Mus musculus: one gene and its partners. The protein of the gene in region 1 interacts with the protein of each later gene in a pairwise test. Links are inferred from orthologs where the notes say so. Each region holds a gene or a part of one and is shown in the gene's direction. Other genes may lie near its edges.

Evidence for each region.
Region 2: the proteins of Ehhadh (region 1) and Actg1 interact in binary tests that used the Homo sapiens proteins (3 or more experiments, as listed by UniProt). The two-hybrid records come from large-scale screens. The link is inferred for Mus musculus from reciprocal best matches to the Homo sapiens genes EHHADH and ACTG1.
Region 3: the proteins of Ehhadh (region 1) and Trim41 interact in binary tests that used the Homo sapiens proteins (3 or more experiments, as listed by UniProt). The two-hybrid records come from large-scale screens. The link is inferred for Mus musculus from reciprocal best matches to the Homo sapiens genes EHHADH and TRIM41.

The regions. Positions count from the first base shown.
Region 1 is NC_000082.6:21,785,189-21,788,935, reverse strand, and holds the start of Ehhadh (peroxisomal bifunctional enzyme), read left to right. Parts: upstream 1-1,101; 5' UTR 1,102-1,155; coding exon 1,156-1,229; intron 1,230-3,747. UniProt on the Homo sapiens protein: Peroxisomal trifunctional enzyme possessing 2-enoyl-CoA hydratase, 3-hydroxyacyl-CoA dehydrogenase, and delta 3, delta 2-enoyl-CoA isomerase activities. Catalyzes two of the four reactions of the long chain fatty acids peroxisomal beta-oxidation pathway.
Region 2 is NC_000077.6:120,345,829-120,349,575, reverse strand, and holds the start of Actg1 (actin, cytoplasmic 2), read left to right. Parts: upstream 1-1,080; 5' UTR 1,081-1,151; intron 1,152-1,478; 5' UTR 1,479-1,484; coding exon 1,485-1,607; intron 1,608-1,700; coding exon 1,701-1,940; intron 1,941-2,039; exon of another isoform or gene 2,040-2,084; intron 2,085-2,162; exon of another isoform or gene 2,163-2,226; coding exon 2,227-2,665; intron 2,666-2,757; coding exon 2,758-2,939; intron 2,940-3,042; coding exon 3,043-3,186; 3' UTR 3,187-3,747. UniProt on the Homo sapiens protein: Actins are highly conserved proteins that are involved in various types of cell motility and are ubiquitously expressed in all eukaryotic cells.
Region 3 is NC_000077.6:48,814,546-48,818,255, reverse strand, and holds the start of Trim41 (E3 ubiquitin-protein ligase TRIM41), read left to right. Parts: upstream 1-864; 5' UTR 865-1,600; coding exon 1,601-2,413; intron 2,414-2,427; exon of another isoform or gene 2,428-2,447; coding exon of another isoform or gene 2,448-2,552; intron 2,553-3,710.

The DNA.
Region 1 (3,747 bases):
AGCAACACGGTAGAACCTGCTTAATTGGCATCCATGAACTCAGCAACTTTGGAACCCATGCTTGTAGACAATTCTGTACCATTAGGAAAAGAGAACCCACTGTGCTGCCACCTAGCTGTATCCCTATTCCTCTGCCACTTACAGAGGGACTAAGTGATAGGAGGCTTTGCTGTTGAGGAGCACTGGCAGAACCTGATTGGAACTGCCCTTTGAACTTTGTTCCCTAAATGCCTTACTTGCCTTTCGCTGGTTCTGCTCCCACCGAGGTGCCAACTGTAAACATCCAAGCCATTTAATGGATTTATATTAAAGCCTTCACCAAGAACCCACTGTGGGAGACACCACAGAAAGTTCCGTGCTCAATTAAAATAAAAGTGCAAACCTAATGGCCAGTGACCGAGTCCTACAGATGGAGATTATAAAGTGTCTTGAGATGACTCCAAAGAGGGCTTATTATCGATCCTTGCTCCAAGGGGGTGGGGTGTAATAAGGCCACTCAGTGCTATTAAACCTTGAACTCTACCTGCTCAGGTTCCTAGGATGCTGGGACTGATTTCTCCTAGACACCATACCTAGAAGTAACATTCCTAGAAATAATATTTAGACATTGTTAAAACTTGTGAAACATCAGTGAAGATTTACAAGTACGGTTTTACTTGTCAACCTGCACACTGTCTTCTGTCCACTTGGTGGACTTTGGCAACCAAGAGGAGCCATGCGCAGCTGGAAGGACCGTGCCCCAGGCTGTTTTAGAGGGAAGAGACAAGGCATGGTTTATTGTCAGGCTGCAGCCTACGTCCAGCCCATAATATGTGTGCAGTTCCTGGATGAACTGTGAAAAATCCCAGCCTTTAGGAGGGACAGAACTAGAGAAGGCCGGGGCTTCGTGCCCTGGTAAATGGCTGTTTTGTGAACATGTGATTGACGTTGGTGGTGTGACCCAGCAGTTTGGCTTGCCTGTGGACATTCCCTTTGGAAGCATAGGAAGATCGCGCTCCTTGGAGCGCAGCCCGCCCCAGGGAGCACGAAGTGCAAGGGGCAGGAGGCGGTAGCAGCGGCTCCCATTGGCTCAGAGCACGCCCCTCCTCTCAGGGCGGCCCAGAAAAGGAGCCCCGGGCTGCCCCAGACATCAGAGGCGCAGGATACCTTGAGAAAATGGCTGAGTATCTGAGGCTGCCCCACTCCCTGGCTATGATCCGCCTCTGCAATCCACCGGTCAATGCCATCAGGTAACACCGCCCGGACAGTGGGGTGTGGCGGGTCTAGGAGGGGGCTTGTCTCAGCTGGAAGGGCGGGCCAATGAGCAGCTGGCTCCGGCCTTCCTTCTGTCAGCTGTTGACCTCACTGCGAGGCCCACGTTTGGTTCTGGCGAATCAGGAACTTACAAAGGTGAGGTTGATGCAGCAAGTGTCTGCTTGAACCCCTTCCTGCAACCTTACTGCCGGCTTGCAACCCCAGCGTCTCTGTGATGCCAAAAGCTATAGTTAGCTGACTCGTAGAAAAGCAGAGTTTAGTGCCTTGAGTGTCAACTCTCCCTGTCAGAGGAGGCCTACTGGATAGTATTTTCTGAAAAGCTGAAGTTTCATTTACACCACCTGCAGTGCCCTCCTGTGCAATGCACTTAGCACATTACTATTATAAATGAGATCTGTCTTCTTGAAAAAATGATATTCATTTACCCTGTTCACTCCATATCACCGGCGAATAGAGTATAATTCTATATTAGCCTCAGGAGGAGTCACCCATACATTGCAGAAGTGGTGGACAGGATTGTGACAGATACTGTATAATTTTCACTGGTGAGACCTTGCTAAAACCCTTTTCTCAGGTGAGACCTTACAGTCTAAAGGACAAACCTAGGTACAGTTCCAGCCCTGTTCACTCTGCAGGGGACCAATGCAATGGATTTAGGCTTACTTTCAGAACAGGGTGGTGCGCTGGGGGCAGGTTGGGGGAGGGGAGGGCGGGGACAGGAGCATGAGTGACTTTAGAACTGCCACATTGGAATCAGCCCTCCCCAGCAAAGATCATGACTCCCCGTGGCAGTTAAGAACCCCTTCCCCAGCCGAGCGTGGTGGCGCACGCCTTTAATCCCAGCACTCGGGAGGCAGCACTTCTGAGTTAGAGGCCAACCTGGTCTACAAAGTGAGTTCCAGGACAGCCAAGGCTACACAGAGGAACCCTGTCTCGAAAAACTAAAGAAAAAAAAAATAAATAAAGAACTCCCTCCCCTAATCCTTCCCTACCTATATCCTCTAGTCCTTCCTAGAGACCCAAGGGTACAATTAGGGCAAAGAGGGGTGGCTGGATAATCAGAGTGTTCTGGTCCAGTCCTTCTATGAAAGTCTACCACCAACAAGCCCAGCATTGGCGATCTTTGGCAAACAGGCTCAAGCCAAACTTGCAGCAGTTTGGCTGGGAGAATAGTCCTGTACAATGGATGAGAACAACTAACCGTTCACCCGAGAGAGGGCATCTGTGACCGGCCAAGTAAAGGATTCCACCCACGTCTAGCTCGGTAGATTAGTGACTTTACTGAGGTCAGTTACAAGAGTATAGTTGCTTCTGAAACAACGGAACCCCTGGAAAGCCCACCCCAACTCGTGAGGAGCCCCCTCCTCACAATTGCTTCTCTCCTGTAACTTTGGAGACGGATCTTATGAAACTTACAGGTTTCTGAGCTTCCTGGGGCGTCTTAAACATCAGTAGATGTGTTTAGCTTTCAGTGCCCTGTCAGTCTCTTTAGCGTCCCCAGTCTTAGCCCCTTCGGGAGGGAATGCGTCAATCCCAAGGAACTAGCAGCACAGTAGCAGAATAAATAAAGTAAACATAGGCCATTTGAAAATTCCCACCACCAGCTGCTGGAGCAAAACCAAACAGATGCCGGGGTGGCACACACCTGGAATCGAAGCATTCAGGAGACTGCGGCAGAAGGAACTGTTGATCTATTCAGACCCTGTCTCAAAAAAAAAAAAAAAATCTTAAAAGCAAGCAAACAAACAAACAACAGAAAAGAGGAGACATGTTCATTTTAACTGAGATTTAAAACCACACTGTTATTAGATTTTATTTTTTAAACTTAATTATTATTATTATTTTATGTGTATGGGTCTTTTACCTGAGAGTATATCTGTGTATCACATGCCCTGGTACTCATGGAGGCTAAAAAAAAAAAAAAGAGAGAGTTTTTTTTTTAAGATTTATTTATTTATTTATTATATGTAAGTACACTGTAGCTGTCCTCAGACACTCCAGTCAGATCTCGTTACAGATGGTTGTGAGCCACCATGTGGTTGCTGGGATTTGAACTCCTGACCTTCGGAAGAGCAGTTGGGTGCTCTTACCCACTGAGCCATCTCACCAGCCCCCAAGAGAGGTTTTTGTTGTTGTTGTTTTGGGTTTGTGTTTGTTTGTTTTGTAACAGCGTCTTTGTAGTTCTGGCTGACCTGGACTAGCTATGTGAACTAGGCTGGCCTTGAACTTGCAGAGAGCCACTATCCTCTGTCTCCCAATCACTGGAATTAAAGGTATGTGCCACCACACTTGACTTAATACTGTACTTATGTTAATATGAAGGATGGCATTGATTAATACATAATGTGCAAAAATTACTGGCTACTTTGGGCAGGGCAGAAGCAAATTATTGATCATGCCAGTCTCACTCTTGATCTCAGCCCAGAAACCAGGAAGTGGCTACAGCACGTGATCTCACAAAGAAAGCATAAGCAATATGGCTCCGTATCCACG
Region 2 (3,747 bases), on another chromosome or scaffold:
CATAGGGTGGGAGTGGCACCCCGTACCTGCTCGAATCAAGCTCTGTGCCCTGTGACCTTGGAGTCCCTCACCTCACTGCTACCCTCCGCTTCATTCCACAATGAACCATTCCAGAAGCTTACAAATAAAACCCGGTTAACTCCCGTGCCAGCTTTCTCTTCAGGCACCATCTAGGACGGCAGCGCCACGACCCTGCTAAGGGTGACAAGTTTCCAAACAGCCGGGAGAAGGGCAGCGAGGCCGGCCCGCCCCCCACGCCTGTCCGGAGGGGACTAAGGCCTAAGCATTCTGTGCCCAAAACCAGTTTGACCCGGACTTCATAATCAGTGGAGAGGAGTCTCGCCAGCTGACCCACGCGGGGGGCGGGGCTGGACCATCCTGAAAGTCGGGAGACTTCCCCTGCCTCAGTTTCCCTACAATGTGTCCCGCAAAGCCAGCATAACACAATGCCCACTCACACCACCACCACCACCTTCTTTGATGCCCAGGGACACCCAACCCCGTGACGACCCCTCCTCCAATAAAGGGACATGGCTGAAGTGGAAGAACTGGTGACCCTCTCCCACGTGACTGGGATGTGATGGCCGCTCCCCGGACCCCCGGGAATCCCTCCAGCCCGTCCCCAGCCAGGCACACACGGACCCTGTAGAGAAAGGTCCTGGGGGGTGTGCGGGGCACAGGATTCACATAGGGGCGGGGGCCACGGGACTCACCCCAGATCGGGGCGCGGCCCGCCCCGGGCTTGGCAGTTTCGGGGCGCAGCCCGGGCCCTCCCTGCTACGCGGCAGTCCCGGGGCAGGGCAGGGCCGATCGCACGCACGCCACTCGCCGAGACCCCCGCGAGCAAGAACCGGGCCTCCCGGGGTCGCGAGCGCGCGGGGGCGGCGCGGGCGGGGCCGTTGGCGGCGGCGCGGGCCAGGGGCGGGCGGGCCCGGGCCCCACGTGTCCCTGGCGGGCGGGCCAATAGGCGCCCGGCTTTTGGAAAGATCGCCATATATGGACATGTTCTGGGGCCGCGCGCGCCCCCGCCCGCGCGCGCGGCCCGCTCCCGCTTAAATAGCGGCGGGGGAGGCCGCGGTCGGTCTCACACTCCGCCGCCGGCTTACACTGCGCTTCTTGCCGCTCCTCCGTCGCCGCCGCGTCCTTCGCCGGTAAGCTGCCGCTCCCCGGGCTTGGCCCAGTGACTTCCTGTGGCCCTTTCTTCCCGCTCACCCTGCCTGCCGCACCGCTGCGGAGCGGAGCGGAGCGCAGGGCGCCTGACGGGTGGGCCTGGGTCTGCAGCCGCGGCTGGGGGCAGGGCGGGGCCCGACGCAATGCGCAGCCCCTCCTCGCCGCGGCGGAACGGGGCGCTGCCGGTAGCCGACGGTTACGCCGCCCGGGGTGGGGACTGCACTCCTCCGGGGTGGCTCGGCCCTGGCCGAGGACATTTTCTGAGTTCGGTGAGGGCTGCGCTAATTCCGGGGCTTCTTCCTGCGCAGATCGCAATGGAAGAAGAAATCGCCGCACTCGTCATTGACAATGGCTCCGGCATGTGCAAAGCCGGCTTTGCTGGCGACGACGCCCCCAGGGCCGTGTTCCCTTCCATCGTAGGGCGCCCCCGACACCAGGTTAGTTGAGAGGAGTGGCCTCCCTTGTGTTCTCTCTGGGCCCGGGTCGCGCGGTGGGTGGGGCGAGTCTGACCGCGGCCTTTTCTCTCGCAGGGCGTCATGGTGGGCATGGGCCAGAAAGACTCATACGTGGGTGACGAGGCCCAGAGCAAGAGGGGTATCCTGACCCTGAAGTACCCTATCGAACACGGCATTGTCACTAACTGGGACGACATGGAGAAGATCTGGCACCACACCTTCTACAATGAGCTGCGTGTGGCTCCTGAGGAGCACCCGGTGCTTCTGACCGAGGCCCCCCTGAACCCCAAAGCTAACAGAGAGAAGATGACGCAGGTATGCTTGAGCCGGGACCTTGCCTCCCCTTGGGCGTGACGAGTCATTTTGTGTTGTGCCTCATTTCCTGACATTCAAGCGTTTCTTTGGTGTTTCTAGGGTTCTGTTCCTCTTCTCCTGGCATTTCCTCCCTGAAGCCTCCAGGTTTCTGTTTGCGTTTCTGCTTGCGTTCTGTTCTTTTTTTCTTCACACATCACATTTGTGGCATGCAGCATGCAGAGTGTGGGTGTGGGAGGCTCAGGGCCCCTGCTACTCACTCACTCAGGTGTTCTTTGTCTTTCCACAGATAATGTTTGAAACCTTCAATACCCCAGCCATGTACGTGGCCATTCAGGCGGTGCTGTCCTTGTATGCATCTGGGCGCACCACTGGCATTGTCATGGACTCTGGTGACGGGGTCACACACACAGTGCCCATCTATGAGGGCTACGCCCTTCCCCACGCCATCTTGCGTCTGGACCTGGCTGGCCGGGACCTGACAGACTACCTCATGAAGATCCTGACTGAACGGGGCTACAGCTTTACCACCACTGCTGAGAGGGAAATTGTTCGTGACATAAAGGAGAAGCTGTGCTATGTTGCCCTGGATTTTGAGCAAGAAATGGCTACTGCTGCATCATCTTCCTCCTTGGAGAAGAGTTACGAGCTGCCCGACGGGCAGGTGATCACCATTGGCAATGAGCGGTTCCGGTGTCCGGAGGCACTCTTCCAGCCTTCCTTCCTGGGTAGGTGTCCACAACATGATTTAGGAGCCAAGGGGCTCTCAGAAGGGATGGAACACACAGAATGTAGTGGCTAAATGAGCTCTGTTCCCTAGGCATGGAGTCCTGTGGTATCCATGAGACCACTTTCAACTCCATCATGAAGTGTGATGTGGATATCCGCAAAGACCTGTATGCCAATACAGTGCTGTCTGGTGGTACCACCATGTACCCAGGCATTGCTGACAGGATGCAGAAGGAGATCACAGCCCTAGCACCTAGCACGATGAAGATTAAGGTGAGTGGCTACCACCCGGCCTGAGCTGGCCTTAGGACCTGTGGCTGGGAAGTGGGACCCACAGGAAGGGCATGAGTGCTCATTCAGTGTTTTTCCTCCACAGATCATTGCTCCCCCTGAGCGCAAGTACTCAGTCTGGATCGGTGGCTCCATTCTGGCCTCACTGTCCACCTTCCAGCAGATGTGGATCAGCAAGCAGGAGTATGATGAGTCAGGCCCCTCCATCGTCCACCGCAAATGCTTCTAGATGGACTGAGCAGGTGCCAGGCATCTGCTGCATGAGCTGATATTGAAGTATCAATTTGCCCTGGCAAATGTACACACCTCATGCTAGCCTCATGAAACTGGAATAAGCCTTTGAAAAGAAATTTGTCCTTGAAGCTTGTATCTGATATCAGCACTGGATCGTAGAACTTGTTGCTGATTTTTGACCTTGTATTCAAGTTAACTGCTCCCTTGGTATATGTTTAATACCCTGTGCATATCTTGATTTAGTCCTTAGTTCATGTGGCTCGGTCACTTGGGGGCTGGGGAGAGCACGCTGTAGATGAGAAAGCCCCAGCCTGGTGGATCTCTGTGAGCACCACTGAGTGATCTGTGCAGGGTATTAACCAACAGCAGACTTCCAGGATTTCCTGAGGCTGGCAAGGGTTCCTGAACCAGTTACCACTCCTTCTTGCCAGTCTAACAGGGTGGGAAAGTCCGAGCCTTAGGACCCAGTTTCAGTTCTGGTTTCTTCCCTCCTGACCACCATCGGTTGTTAGTTGCCTTGAGTTGGGAACGTTTGCATCGACACCTGTAAATGTAT
Region 3 (3,710 bases), on another chromosome or scaffold:
TGAAAGGTATGCACGGCCCACATAAAGTACTAAAGTTTGAGTAAACCCATAGCACTTGAAAAATATGTTTATTTAATGAGAACACACAGACTTGTCTCAAAACCCAAAGGACTATGTTTTCGGAAAAGTGTCTTTACTGGCCGGCCAGCCTTCCTAGAGAAATTCTGTTTTCTTCTATAGACGAGAATATGGTAGAGTAGCTAGCCCTTAACCTCTTTACCAGATACTAGAAACCGTTCTGACCGTTTTACATGACGACATCCTCACAAAATCCTGTGAGGCAACAACTCTGATTTGTTTTATATGATTTACGTTATATTACTATATACTTTATATAGCCATTCAGAGTACCGAATACACTTAACGTTGCTTGCCCTCCTATATATACTCCAGTGTTCAGCCACCTTCACTTTTTAAACTTAATTCATTCCAAAGATTCTCTGTCATATAGTTGAACACTGTTGCATTTAATATGGATGTGGATATTAATAATAAATGATGGGACAAGTGACCGGTTGGCAGGATTTGGTTTTGTTTTGCTGGCTTGCTTTGACTGGTTGGTGGTTGTTTTCTGGGACAGGGTCTCACTTTGTAGTCCAGGTTTGATAAACATGGAACTTGCCACAGTTCCGCGGCCTCTGCCTCTACAGTGCTGGGCTTGCAGGAGCGCTGTGGTCCGCCAGCAAAGTGGCAGTTCCTAAAGCCGGCGAGAAAACGCCCAGTCCAGCGGGAGGGCGGAGCCTTTCGCTCCAGTCCCAGCCGGTTTCGTCAGGCTCCGCCCAGAATCCCGCTCGGAGGGACCCCCGGACTCGCAAACGAACGAACAAGTTTCGGGTCTAGAGGGGCCGGAAATATGAGGACGCTGAGCGGGCCCGCCCCTCAGCTTCCGGCACTGGTCCTGGGAGTCCCTTCTGCAATCGTCCGTGCCTGGTCGGTAGGATGGCGCTAGGCCGCTGCGGTTGGAGCACGGAGAACAGGGCGCTGCTCAACGTCCTCGCCACCCTCCGCTGTCCGTTCCCGCTGGCAGGGCATGGGGGCGCCTTCCGCTCCGTACGCGTTCTTCGCGGCCAGTCATCACCGAGACGTGGGCCTCCGCCGTCCTAGCCCTCCCGTCCTGTTCCCGAGTGTCAGCTAGAGCGTCTCCTTCTCGTTTCCGGTCGCTCTGCAGCCTGGGGCGGGGCGTGGGAGAAGGGGGCGGTGCCTCGCCGGGAACTCGTGAGTTCAGGTAGTGCGGAGACGCCGGAAGCGTTGGGAGGGAGGCCGGAAGCCGGGGGGCGGGGCCAGGAAGTGAGGAGGGGCGGGGGTTTATGAGCAGGCCAGGGGAGCGTTGGGGCAGATTTGCACTCAGGTCCACCTGAGCGGCTTGTCGGTGGGGCTCCCCTCTGTCCCCTCCCCTCTGTGAGACACGGTGGTCGTCTGGGGGTAGGGGACTGTGCGTGGCGGGGTGGGCTGGTCGGAGGACATTCCTTTGGCCTTGCCGCAGGCAAGGTGCGGAGAGGTTGGGCTCGGGGTGGGGACGGGGCTTCGGGAAAGGGAGACCCCCCCGCCCCACCCCCCGCTCCCCCCACCGCACTTCTACCCTGGCTGACTGGACACTAAGATGGCTGCCGTTGCCATGACACCCAACCCTGTGCAGACCCTTCAGGAGGAGGCGGTGTGTGCCATCTGCCTCGATTACTTCACGGACCCGGTGTCCATCGGCTGCGGGCACAACTTCTGCCGAGTGTGTGTAACCCAGTTGTGGGGCGGGGAGGATGAGGAAGACAGAGATGAGTTGGATCGGGAGGAGGAGGAGGAGGAGGTCGGAGAGGAGGAAGAAGTGGAGGCTGTCGGGGCTGGCGGGGGCTGGGACACCCCTATGCGGGAAGAAGATTATGAGGGTGACATGGAGGAGGAGGCCGAGGAGGAAGAGGAAGTGTTCTGGAGTAGTGGTATAGGTGGGTCTAACTGGGACAACATGGACTATGTGTGGGAGGAGGAGGAGGAGGAGGAGGAGGAAGAACTGGACTATTACTTGGGGGATGTGGCGGACCTGAGAGGGGAAGATGAGGACGAGGAGGAGGAAGTGCTGGAGGAAGACGAGGAAGAGGAGCTAGACCCGATCACCCAACTGCCGCCACCTCCAGCCCCTCGGAGATGCTTCACTTGTCCCCAGTGTCGAAAAAGTTTTCCTCGGCGGAGCTTCCGCCCCAACCTGCAGTTGGCCAACATGGTCCAGGTGATCCGTCAGATGCACCCAACTCCTGGGCGAGGGAGCCGTGTGAATGAACAAGGCATCTGTCCGAGACATCAAGAAGCCCTGAAGCTGTTCTGTGAGGTGGATGAAGAAGCCATCTGTGTGGTGTGCCGCGAATCCAGGAGCCACAAACAGCATAGTGTGGTGCCATTGGAGGAGGTAGTGCAGGAGTACAAGGTGAGTAACACAGGGGCGGCAGAGTGGAGTCAGGATGGGGAGGAGAGAACGGGGACTGGGGATGGACGTGATGCCGGTTCTCCCAGCAGGACCTTGCCATTGGAAAAATGGTTCTCCCCGTCCAAGCACTGACTTCAAGGTGGGTAAATGAGAAGGATCCTCTAACTGGCTCTGTGGCTTAGAGACAGGCAGTGCTTCACTCCAGTCCTATTTTCTTCTGGGTGAATCTTAAGTCTTATCCATGACAGAGCTACTTCAGATGGGAAGGAATGGAGACCTAAAAGAACAAATGAAGGGTCTGAAACCGGAGCATAGAAATAACTAGTGTCAGGTTCCAAACACTTGTCTCTCAGCGGGTCCCACACTTATCCTAGGCTATGAGCTTCGTTGCTTTCTCTCTGCACCCAGTCTCATGTATTTACCAGAAAAGAGAGAGGCTCTTAGGGCAAGACGTCTTGCTCAAGTTTCAGAGTGTCTTTGAACTTTCATTACCACAGGCATATGGCCACCTTTTATAGATTATCGTTTATAATTCAGAGTCACTGTGAGTTTGATGTTTGCTATTCTCATTTTATTGATTGGGAAGCAGGTTTATGTTCTGAACTTGGAGGTTTATATGTTGTGCAGCTTTAGAGATAGACTTTGATGTGACCATCCTCCTCTTGGGGCCTACATCCTACTTGGATATTTTAGTTTGACCTTTCTGACCTGACTGTTCTTGGAATGTAATTTCGTTTGGTTAACTGTCTGGCTCTTTATTTCCCTGATTCTTTGGACATATGTGAAGGACGTTTATCTATGAAACAGCCAGCACAGATAGAACTATCTTCAGATTTGAGTCAGGAACTAGGAGGAGAGTGGAGCCTCTGTTTGCTGGCCCAGATCTTTGTTGTTTGTGATTCAGTCAGTGACTTCATTTAGGTGATCATCATCACCTCAGCTTAGAGACTAAGGCTTCACAGCTCATTGTCCGTTACTAGAGTAGGTTTTTAAAACTACAGTGGGCCTTATTGCAGAAGTCCAGAATCAGTGAGAGGATCTGTAGAAAACCTAAGATGGGCATGGTACAGCAAGCCCCTCAACTGAACGCTTGGGAAAGTGGAAGCAGGAATATCAGTTCAAGGGCATCCTTGACTACATAGCAAGATAGAGGCCAGACTCAGTTCCTGAATTACACGAGACTCACTCAAAAAAAAAAAAAAGTTATTTGCCTGTTTATAGTCTTTGAGACATGGTCTCTCTCTAGCCCTTGCTGTCCCAAAACACCCTATGTAGACCAAGCAAGTCTCAAACTCAA